Linked DNA regions of Caenorhabditis elegans. The protein of the gene in region 1 purifies or fractionates together with the protein of each later gene. This does not show direct contact. Each region holds a gene or a part of one and is shown on either strand. Other genes may lie near its edges. The genes, in order: fib-1 and nol-56.

What was found.
Region 2: the proteins of fib-1 (region 1) and nol-56 purify together in Caenorhabditis elegans (affinity purification with mass spectrometry; 2 studies listed by BioGRID, with this or other methods). This does not show direct contact.

What each region holds. Positions count from the first base shown.
Region 1 is NC_003283.11:14,999,866-15,003,679, reverse strand, and holds fib-1 (rRNA 2'-O-methyltransferase fibrillarin), read left to right. Parts: upstream 1-1,570; 5' UTR 1,571-1,654; intron 1,655-1,710; 5' UTR 1,711-1,711; coding exon 1,712-1,751; intron 1,752-1,799; coding exon 1,800-1,983; intron 1,984-2,030; coding exon 2,031-2,581; intron 2,582-2,628; coding exon 2,629-2,912; 3' UTR 2,913-3,027; downstream 3,028-3,814. Other genes in the region: mut-15 (MUTator), read right to left, coding at 1-347, 390-558, 606-678, 726-771, 814-881, 931-967; rps-16 (Small ribosomal subunit protein uS9), read left to right, coding at 3,143-3,292, 3,337-3,621; T01C3.11 (uncharacterized protein), read right to left, coding at 3,689-3,814. UniProt on the Caenorhabditis elegans protein: S-adenosyl-L-methionine-dependent methyltransferase that has the ability to methylate both RNAs and proteins. Involved in pre-rRNA processing.
Region 2 is NC_003283.11:10,349,674-10,354,798, forward strand, and holds nol-56 (Nucleolar protein 56), read right to left. Parts: upstream 3,306-5,125; 5' UTR 3,295-3,305; coding exon 3,196-3,294; intron 3,164-3,195; exon of another isoform or gene 3,037-3,163; intron 3,011-3,036; coding exon 2,896-3,010; intron 2,846-2,895; coding exon 2,691-2,845; intron 2,610-2,690; coding exon 2,502-2,609; intron 2,457-2,501; coding exon 2,222-2,456; intron 2,190-2,221; exon of another isoform or gene 2,060-2,189; intron 2,043-2,059; coding exon 1,710-2,042; intron 1,681-1,709; exon of another isoform or gene 1,545-1,680; intron 1,541-1,544; coding exon 1,266-1,540; intron 1,240-1,265; exon of another isoform or gene 1,107-1,239; intron 1,086-1,106; coding exon 945-1,085; 3' UTR 798-944; downstream 1-797. Other genes in the region: nssp-62 (Neuropeptide-Like Protein), read right to left, coding at 393-449; sluh-7 (Pre-mRNA-splicing factor SLU7), read right to left, coding at 4,002-4,151, 4,237-5,125. UniProt on the Caenorhabditis elegans protein: Required for 60S ribosomal subunit synthesis.

The DNA.
Region 1 (3,814 bases):
AAAGTTTGAGCGAGACGTCCGAGTGAGTCGGCAAACTCACTGTTCCCCTTCAACTTCTCGGCATTATTAATGATAACAAAACGTAGAACAGATATAAAATCATCCAACTGTTCCATTTCATTCTTCAGCTTATCGATATACTCTTTGATTTTTTTGAATGAACCAATGAAAACTCTAGATCTATTCGATGTCATGAATTCATTTGACAGCTCAGTTGTGTCTAGATTTGTTATATGTGTATTTGGACGAGTGGAATTAGAACTTCTTCTCTTGTTGAGTAGGCCTCTCATTACAGATTTCGAGCGTTTACCGTCTGTAGTTATAATAATGCATCGCGGAAACGGTTTCTGAAATTAGAATCAGTTATCACTTCCACTAGCTTGGCTAACCCTATGCGAACGAAATCTGTCGATGGAGTGCAAGATGGGTTGTCCGTAGTAAAACTCGTGATTTGGGCCTGAATGAATGCAAAACAAATGTTCGCCGTTGTGAAAACGCCCGAGACTGCAATATAAAGCATCTTGCAATGTTCTCCATGGACTGTAGCCTCGGCGGCCACTGAAAATATGAATGTATTTTCAGAATTAACGACGGGATCGAATGACCTGATTGAAAACTTCATCAGCTTCCTCGTTATTTGCAGCGACCCGGTTTCAGACGATCTCACATACGCTACTTCTTCAAAGTATTAATTTCGATGGTATCTTTAGTATGATATTTCAAACCTTCTCTTGAAGCTGCCGGTCCCCACTCTGGGTTATGCGCTCGAGCCTGGAAAACATGAAATAATTGCAGTCATTCATTAATCTCAACTTCTTTGACCGAAAAACATGATCTCCTTGCATTGCCCAATCCATCAAGATCAAAAGCATTCACGACACCTGAAATGAATAAAATAAATATCCCATTTAGCTCATCAAAAATTGTCACCCATGCTACATATGCCGATTCCATTGGAGTTATCCATTTCTTTGATACTTATCTAAATACTTCCATTCAAATCCTGTTATTTAAACCCGTGCGCGATATCTGAACAACTCCGGAGTGTTTTTCAATGCTCGACTCGCTCCAGCAATCGATAAACAGAATGGGAATCGGTTTCGCTGCGTTCAAAACATCGGCCGGAATATTCTGGTTTCTGAGACAACGAAACGTGAAACATCTATCAAGTTTTCAACCTTTTTTCGAAGCCATGATTAGTATCATAATTTAAAACCTGTTTTTTTGCTTGACGTTTTTGCATATTTCAATCAAAACCACCTTTCATATCGCTTTGATTTTCAATTTTAGAACAAAGCCCCGCCTACAATTGCCTGATTTCGTTCTACGCGAGCTGTTTGCTTGCGAATCGATAAAGTGTCGGTTGTGTGGCAAGTGCGCTCCACTGTGCAGGTCTCGCAGCGATTGCCATTTTCCACCGTAGTTCCCTCCAATGTCTTCTCCATTTTCGTAATTTTTTGGTTCGCCCAAATTTTTTTTCGTCATTTTTTGCCTGAAATGTTCGTTTCTTCTCAATTTTTCTTGGATTTTAAGAGTAGATTTGAGAATAGTGGATGATTCTAGTCGATTCAGATCGACTGGAGCGTGATTTAAATCCATGACTCTAAGTGAAATGGGATAATTCTCAATCTTACTCGGCTCTCCCACGGCTGAGGTATGTATTTTTCGTAATTTCGCTTTTCGTTTTTGTTAAATAATCGATTTTTGTAGTATGGGACGTCCAGAGTTCAATCGTGGCGGCGGCGGCGGAGGTAAACTGAATTTCAGGATTTTTTCGTATTATAAATATTATTTTTCAGGTTTCCGAGGTGGACGCGGTGGAGACCGTGGTGGTAGCAGAGGTGGATTTGGAGGCGGTGGTCGTGGAGGATATGGCGGAGGTGATCGTGGCAGTTTCGGTGGAGGTGATCGCGGAGGCTTCAGAGGAGGACGCGGAGGTGGAGACCGCGGTGGTTTCCGTGGAGGAAGAGGCGGTGGTGATCGGTTTGTGTTTTATAATTCTGTTCGCCATCAAAACGATAATTTTTCAGAGGTGGTTTTGGTGGCCGTGGATCACCAAGAGGAGGATTCGGAGGACGTGGATCTCCAAGAGGCGGAAGAGGATCACCACGTGGTGGACGCGGAGGAGCCGGTGGAATGCGAGGAGGAAAGACTGTCGTTGTCGAACCACATCGTCTCGGTGGAGTATTCATCGTGAAAGGAAAGGAAGATGCTCTTGCCACAAAGAACATGGTTGTGGGAGAGTCCGTGTACGGAGAGAAGAGAGTGTCCGTCGATGACGGAGCTGGCTCAATCGAGTACCGTGTGTGGAATCCATTCCGTTCTAAGCTCGCTGCTTCCATCATGGGAGGATTGGAGAACACTCACATCAAGCCAGGAACCAAACTTCTCTATCTCGGAGCTGCTTCTGGAACTACTGTTTCCCATTGTTCTGACGTCGTTGGACCAGAAGGAATCGTTTATGCTGTTGAGTTCTCTCACAGATCTGGACGTGACCTTTTGGGAGTTGCCAAGAAGAGACCAAACGTTGTCCCAATTGTCGAAGATGCCAGACATCCACACAAGTACCGCATGCTTGTCGGTAAGTATTAAATTTAAGCATTTTTGTGTTTAATATTTATATTACAGGAATGGTCGATGTCATCTTTTCTGATGTTGCTCAGCCAGATCAAGCTCGTATTGTTGCTCTCAATGCCCAAAACTTCCTTCGCAACGGTGGACATGCCGTCATCTCTATCAAAGCTAATTGCATTGACAGTACTGCTGAGCCCGAGGCTGTATTTGCTGGTGAAGTCAACAAGCTGAAGGAGGAGAAGTTCAAGCCACTTGAGCAGGTAACCCTGGAGCCGTATGAGAGAGACCACGCTGTCGTGGTTGCTGTCTACCGCCCAGTCAAGGGAAAGAAGGTCTGATCTCCAAAATCATCGTTACATTTTTTTGTTTTGTTATTTTGTTACATGTATACCTCCATCTTGATCGTTAACACTTGTTTTACTTGTTTCCCAATAAAATGTTGTTGATGCTGTCATGTTAGGGATGTTTTACTTTTATCTTTACTTGGTTCTCAACCTTGCCGATATTTCTATTCTACTTTAATTGTAACCTTTATTTTGTTCTTTGTTTAATATATTATTACAGGGTAATGACGTCTACCGTGCAATCGGTTCAGACCTTCGGGCGCAAGAAGACTGCCACCGCTGTCGCTCACTGCAAAAAGGGACAAGGACTTATCAAGGTCAACGGTCGCCCACTTGAGTTCTTGGAGCCACAGATCCTGCGCATCAAGCTTCAGGTTTTTGTTCCGACATTAAATTCCAACTAACTTGTATTTTTCAGGAGCCACTTCTCCTCGTCGGAAAGGAACGCTTCCAGGATGTCGACATCAGAATCCGTGTTAGCGGTGGAGGACACGTTGCCCAGATCTACGCTGTCCGTCAAGCCCTTGCCAAGGCTCTCGTTGCCTACTACCACAAGTACGTTGACGAGCAGAGCAAGAGAGAATTGAAGAACATCTTCGCCGCTTACGACAAGTCCCTTTTGGTTGCTGACCCAAGACGCCGTGAGTCCAAGAAGTTCGGTGGACCAGGAGCCCGCGCTCGCTACCAGAAGTCTTACCGTTAAATTCTTTTTGTTGCACAATAAAATTGTTATTGAAAAAAAAGATTTATGAGATCGAATTTAAAAAGATTTAGAAAGTGAAGCTGAGCAAAAGCATATCAAGGACAAAAATGAATAGTATTCCGGCGATGAGGTCCAATCTTGAGTGTTTAGTTTTTCTCGTGTAGGCAACTTCGAATTGTTGTATTGGTTTAGA
Region 2 (5,125 bases), 4.7 Mb from region 1:
TAAAAATGACAAATTATTTTGATTCTTCTTAATATTTTTCTTTCTCTAAATAATTGTCGTAAATAGTTTCGTAAGGATTTCATCATTTTAAAGGTACACGTGCATTCTTTCGGTGGTTCTCGACACGATCTCCATAATTTTTTATCTACCGAAAGTTTATCAAGTTTTCCATTCAAGACTGAAGCATATGAATTTCTACATTCCAAATTGCACAAATGGCAAGAGTTACCAAAAAATAACGCTTCCAATCAAAAACTTTTGGCTTCTAGAGATTTTTTCTTCAAAAGTAGTACTATATTCTGAGCTTTTTTGCAAAAACAAAGTTAAAATAAGTTTAGCTTTTTATAATTAAAGTTCTTCTCCATTCTTTTTTTAATGAATAAAACCTGTACCTGTGCAAAAACCGTAACGAGAATTGAGACGAAAATGACAAAAAGCCGGCAATTCATTTTGTGTAGGAAGACCAAAGAAAGAGAATACTGGAAATTAATAATTATTTTGAAAACAGATCTGAAAATAAGACAGTATCAATAAAGGCGACTAATGAAATTATTATTTACTCTCTAAAAGAACGAAAAGGGTTGTTTTCCCGACCTATTATGAGACTGACTGAGTCTCAACTGACGTGTTGTGCATTTTCTAAGCTCCAGTCTTGCTCTCTTGGCCCCGCCCTTCTCGAGATTTTGACGCCGCCCTCTCATTCTTAATACACGGCTTCGCGTAGTGTAGTGAACAGAGCACTTTCGAACATTACTCGCACTGAAGTTTATATGTGAAGTCAATTCTAAAACATTTACGCTGGATTATACAAGTTTATTCATTAAGAAGAAAACAGAGTAACAACAAGATGTAGGGGTCCAACAGTCAACAAAAACAAAATAGTTCAACATGGGGGAGTTACATTCATAAAACAAAAAAGATCAGTGGTGTAGTGATGATGAAGATTACTCGTCTCCAGCCTTGCTCTTCTTCTTCTTCTTTGGCTTTGGAGCATCCTCGTCAACCTCAGCTTCAGCAGTTGCAGTGACAGACTCTTCAGCAAGACGCTTGGCTTTCTTGGCAGCCTTCTTCTTCTTTTTGATGACCTGAAATACAATTTTTAATTGATTGTTTCCTTAAAAGATAGATCATGAGTTTAAAATGAGAGAAACCCAGCTAAAAATTCTTCAATGGATAATTATATCGCATGCAAGCTAAACGGCCGAATTAAAACAATTTGCCCGCATTAAATACATGCTAAATAGGAAATTTGCGCAAAACTGTACCTTCTCCTTAACCTCAACGGCAGCTTCCTCGGCCTCCTTCATGACGTCAATGTTTTTCTTTGGAACAGTTCCGGAGGTGAAATACTCAAGTCTATCCTCAACCTGTTGGCGAAGGAATTCTCCATATGTCGAAACTGGAGTCTCGGAGAAGCAATCCACACGAGCAGCAATGGAGCACTTGTTAGCAAGATATCTGGACACACGACCCTTGTTCTTGGTTCCAGCTTTTCCAATGAAGCTGGAGTGGAAGAGAAGTCCATACTTTGGAGTGTTGGCTGAAAATGTACCAATTTCAGAAAAATCATAGACTCGAATATGACCGAGTGCAGCGAATAAAATCTTCAATAGAAAATAATTTTGCATGCAAGCTAAACGGCTGAACTAAAATCATCCACCCGCATTAAATACATGCCATCAATTAATGATACATTTTTCATGACTTACATCTGGTCTTCAAGGCACGGAAAAGAGCCTTCTCTGCTCCGAGGATTTGGACAGTGGACGCTGGATACTTGGCCAAGTTGGTCAGCGAACCAGCATGCGAGATCAAGCGAGCACCAACTTGTTCTCCGATAAGAGCACTGAGAGAAGGAGCACAGTGGTCCATACGATCTTTAATGTACTCGTGAAGTTGTTGTCTATACTCCATGAGAGAAGAGACACGAGCGGCGAATCTCTTGATGTTCTCAAGATCGAGATCGGAAATATCCATTCCCATTGATGTTCTGGCCGCTTCGATGATCTGAGCGGTTTTCTCGGAATCATTGTCAAGAATTTCTGAAAAAGGAAAGAATATTTGTGGGACACACAAAGTGACCGAAAACATCAAAACATTCTCGGTGTCTGGTTGTCTCTATGCTTTACCTCTCATTTTACTAGTGAACTTAACAAAATGCTAGTCCCCCGGCTTATAAGAGAGGTTACCCAAAATCTACATTTTGAACTATAATACTTACCAAGAATCTCATTCTCGAGGTTCTCATTTTCAGCCATCTTGTTTCTGTCCAAGATAGCGACAGCAAGGCGAGAGTACTTGTATTGATCTGGAGCCAGACGGAAGAGCTCTGGATAATGGTAAGAGTACCATTCACGGATTCTCATTCCAAAAAGATTGATATCCTTGTCCAACTGATCGAGAAGGGCAATCGATTGAATAACCATGTTGTCCACACGATGCACATCGAATTTGACCTATCAAAAAACATTTAGAGAAAAAAGCGCGATCGAGGTACGCACCTTCGAACGAGAGTAACTATGACCGAGAGAAAGCTGAGCTTTCGATAAGGAGTGATGTGGGAGATTTTTGGCCAAACGCTCGAAATGAACACGAGTACCACGCAGAATCTAAACTCAAAATATGTGTTTTCGTCATCGGTAACAGATTCAGGTAAACTCCAAAGAGTTTATTGTGAATCTTCACGTTACCTCGGTGATAACACCTCCGAAGACAAGCTTCAGATCTGGGAACGCTTCAGTAAGCGAACCCGCAAGCTTCGAGTCATTGATTCCAAGCACAACGTGTTTTTTCTTTTTTGGAAGCGACTTTTGAAGAAAATTAGTGAGATCAGGGTGGGCGAGACCTAATAATTAAAATAATTACTCCCCATCAAAACTTATCGGTCTTTGTTACCTTCAGAGATGGAGTTGCAGTTTTCCAATGCAGCTTCGGTGTTTTTGAACGGATCAAACGAAGCAAGCTCAACGATTTGCGAGAACTTGTATCCATCAGCATGAGCGGCATCGACCTGAAAATGCGTTAATTTAAGCACTAAACTGTGGGACATACGAAGTGACCGAATATATCACAACATAATCGGTGTCTGGATGTCTCTATAATTTTCCTCGCGTTTTACTAGTGAACTCAGCAAAGGCTAGTCCCCCGGCTTATAAGCGAGGATATTTTAAAAATACTTTTTTCGAGCGAACGTACCTCTTGGAGGATAAGACCAGCATCATCAAACTCCTTAATCTTCATGAGAGCGTATCCAGCTGCATGCTCATAGAGCACGAAGTGGGGAACTTCCGACATGGTGTAAGAACCTGAAAAATCATTTATTCAAGAAAACCAAAAAGGGTGCAAAAACTGTGAGACTTTAAGTAAAGAAGAATTGATAGAACATTAATGTAATTGTTTATAAATACATCTTTCCTTATCATTCCAGTAATAAATAAATAAATAAAAACCGAAATTGGATCGATAAGTATCAAAAATAGGCCGGAGAAAAAATAAGGACGAATCAAAAAGACGACGGCGTACCTCTTTCGCTGCGAGACCTATTCGCAAAAGAGTGTGTGCCTTTACTACTCGTGAACTCCACTCGGACAAAATAATGGCAGTGGAGAAAATTACGCCAGTAAAACGTTTTATTAGAAATTTCTATAGAAATGAAAAAAGACGAACGAAATATTATCGGGAAAAATCGAAATTTTTCTAGCCGTTCACCAGAATCGATGTGCTTAGAATTTATTTTCAGAATGTAAATAAATCCAGATCAAGAAAACATGACGTGGAGGTTTTTGAATGAACGAATATACTGAAGCACGTATTTAAAAATTATTTAACACGAAGTTGGGCGCAGACGTTCGAAAATGAATTATTGAATAAGGGCATTTTGTAAAATCGGAATTAAAAAAATAATGGTGATCATGAATTGAATAATTTATTGAATAGACTGAATACAAATGTTTCAACAAACAACAATAAAGAGAAAAAACTACGGAGACGACTTCAAATAATTACTTGGTGTGTTTCTTCTCAAATTTGGAATTCATGTAGGCTGCCATCGGATCAGCAGAATGAACACTTGTCACACGATAAGCCTCCATTTCTTTTTCGTTCGGTGCAGTGTTGGAGTAGTCAGTGTTGTATTTACGGCCGCGATCACCCTGAACAAAGTATTTTATATTTTGAATTTTCAAGGAATATAATAGTACTAAGCGACCCGGATAAAATTAGTATTGGTAATCTTACCTCTCTTGCAGCTTTCATTCCTTCGGCCTTTTCCCGTTTCGCCTTCTTCATAGCTTTACGCATTTCTTCATCAGAATCAGATTCTGAACCACTTCCCGACGAAGGATCGCTTTCATCGTCCGAATCGCGATGACGCCTCTTTCTTTTCCCCAGCTTTGCCTTCTTGCGTTCACGCTTTTCACGTTTTTTATCACGACGCCGCTGGTCCCGTTCTCTTCGTTCTTTTTCAATTAACCTTTCCTTCTCGCGTTCTTTTTCTTTTTCTTCATCGTCACTTGGTGGTGATGGTGATATGGACTTCTCTGATACTTTTTCCTTTTCTTCGTCATTATCATTATCACTGTTTTCTTCTGCTACTTCATCCTTGATGGAATCTTCCTTCTCTTTTTCTTCTTTAACTTCAGTCTTCTCTACTAACTTCGGAACTTTGAAAATTTCTTCGTTTGAGGTCGTTGTACCTTTTGCTGCGCTCGTTTCAGCTTCAATTCCCTGCTTTCCCGTACAATATGAGTTCTTGACGAATTGATGACAGCACTTATATCCCCACCGACCCTCTCTCCAGAAACTTCCGAACACTGATGTATGATTTTGGGGATATATATCTTCTTTGAAGCGAGAGCTAATTGCTACTTTTTCCTTTCCCTTGATAACTTTTCCTTTCCGATTGTATTCGATATAACTCTCAGTTTGTGCCAGTAGCAACTCATCCGCAGGCCTTTCCATGTGCTCACCTCCTCCGTATTTGTCTAATAACTCTTTCTGTGTTTCGTTTTTCAGAGTTGATTTTTCCTTCTCATACTCTTTTTTCAGTGCTTCTAACTTTGTAGGTTCAGCAATCGAGTGAGCATATACTCCACCACGAGTGGCTTGCCATGCAAAAACTTGGGCT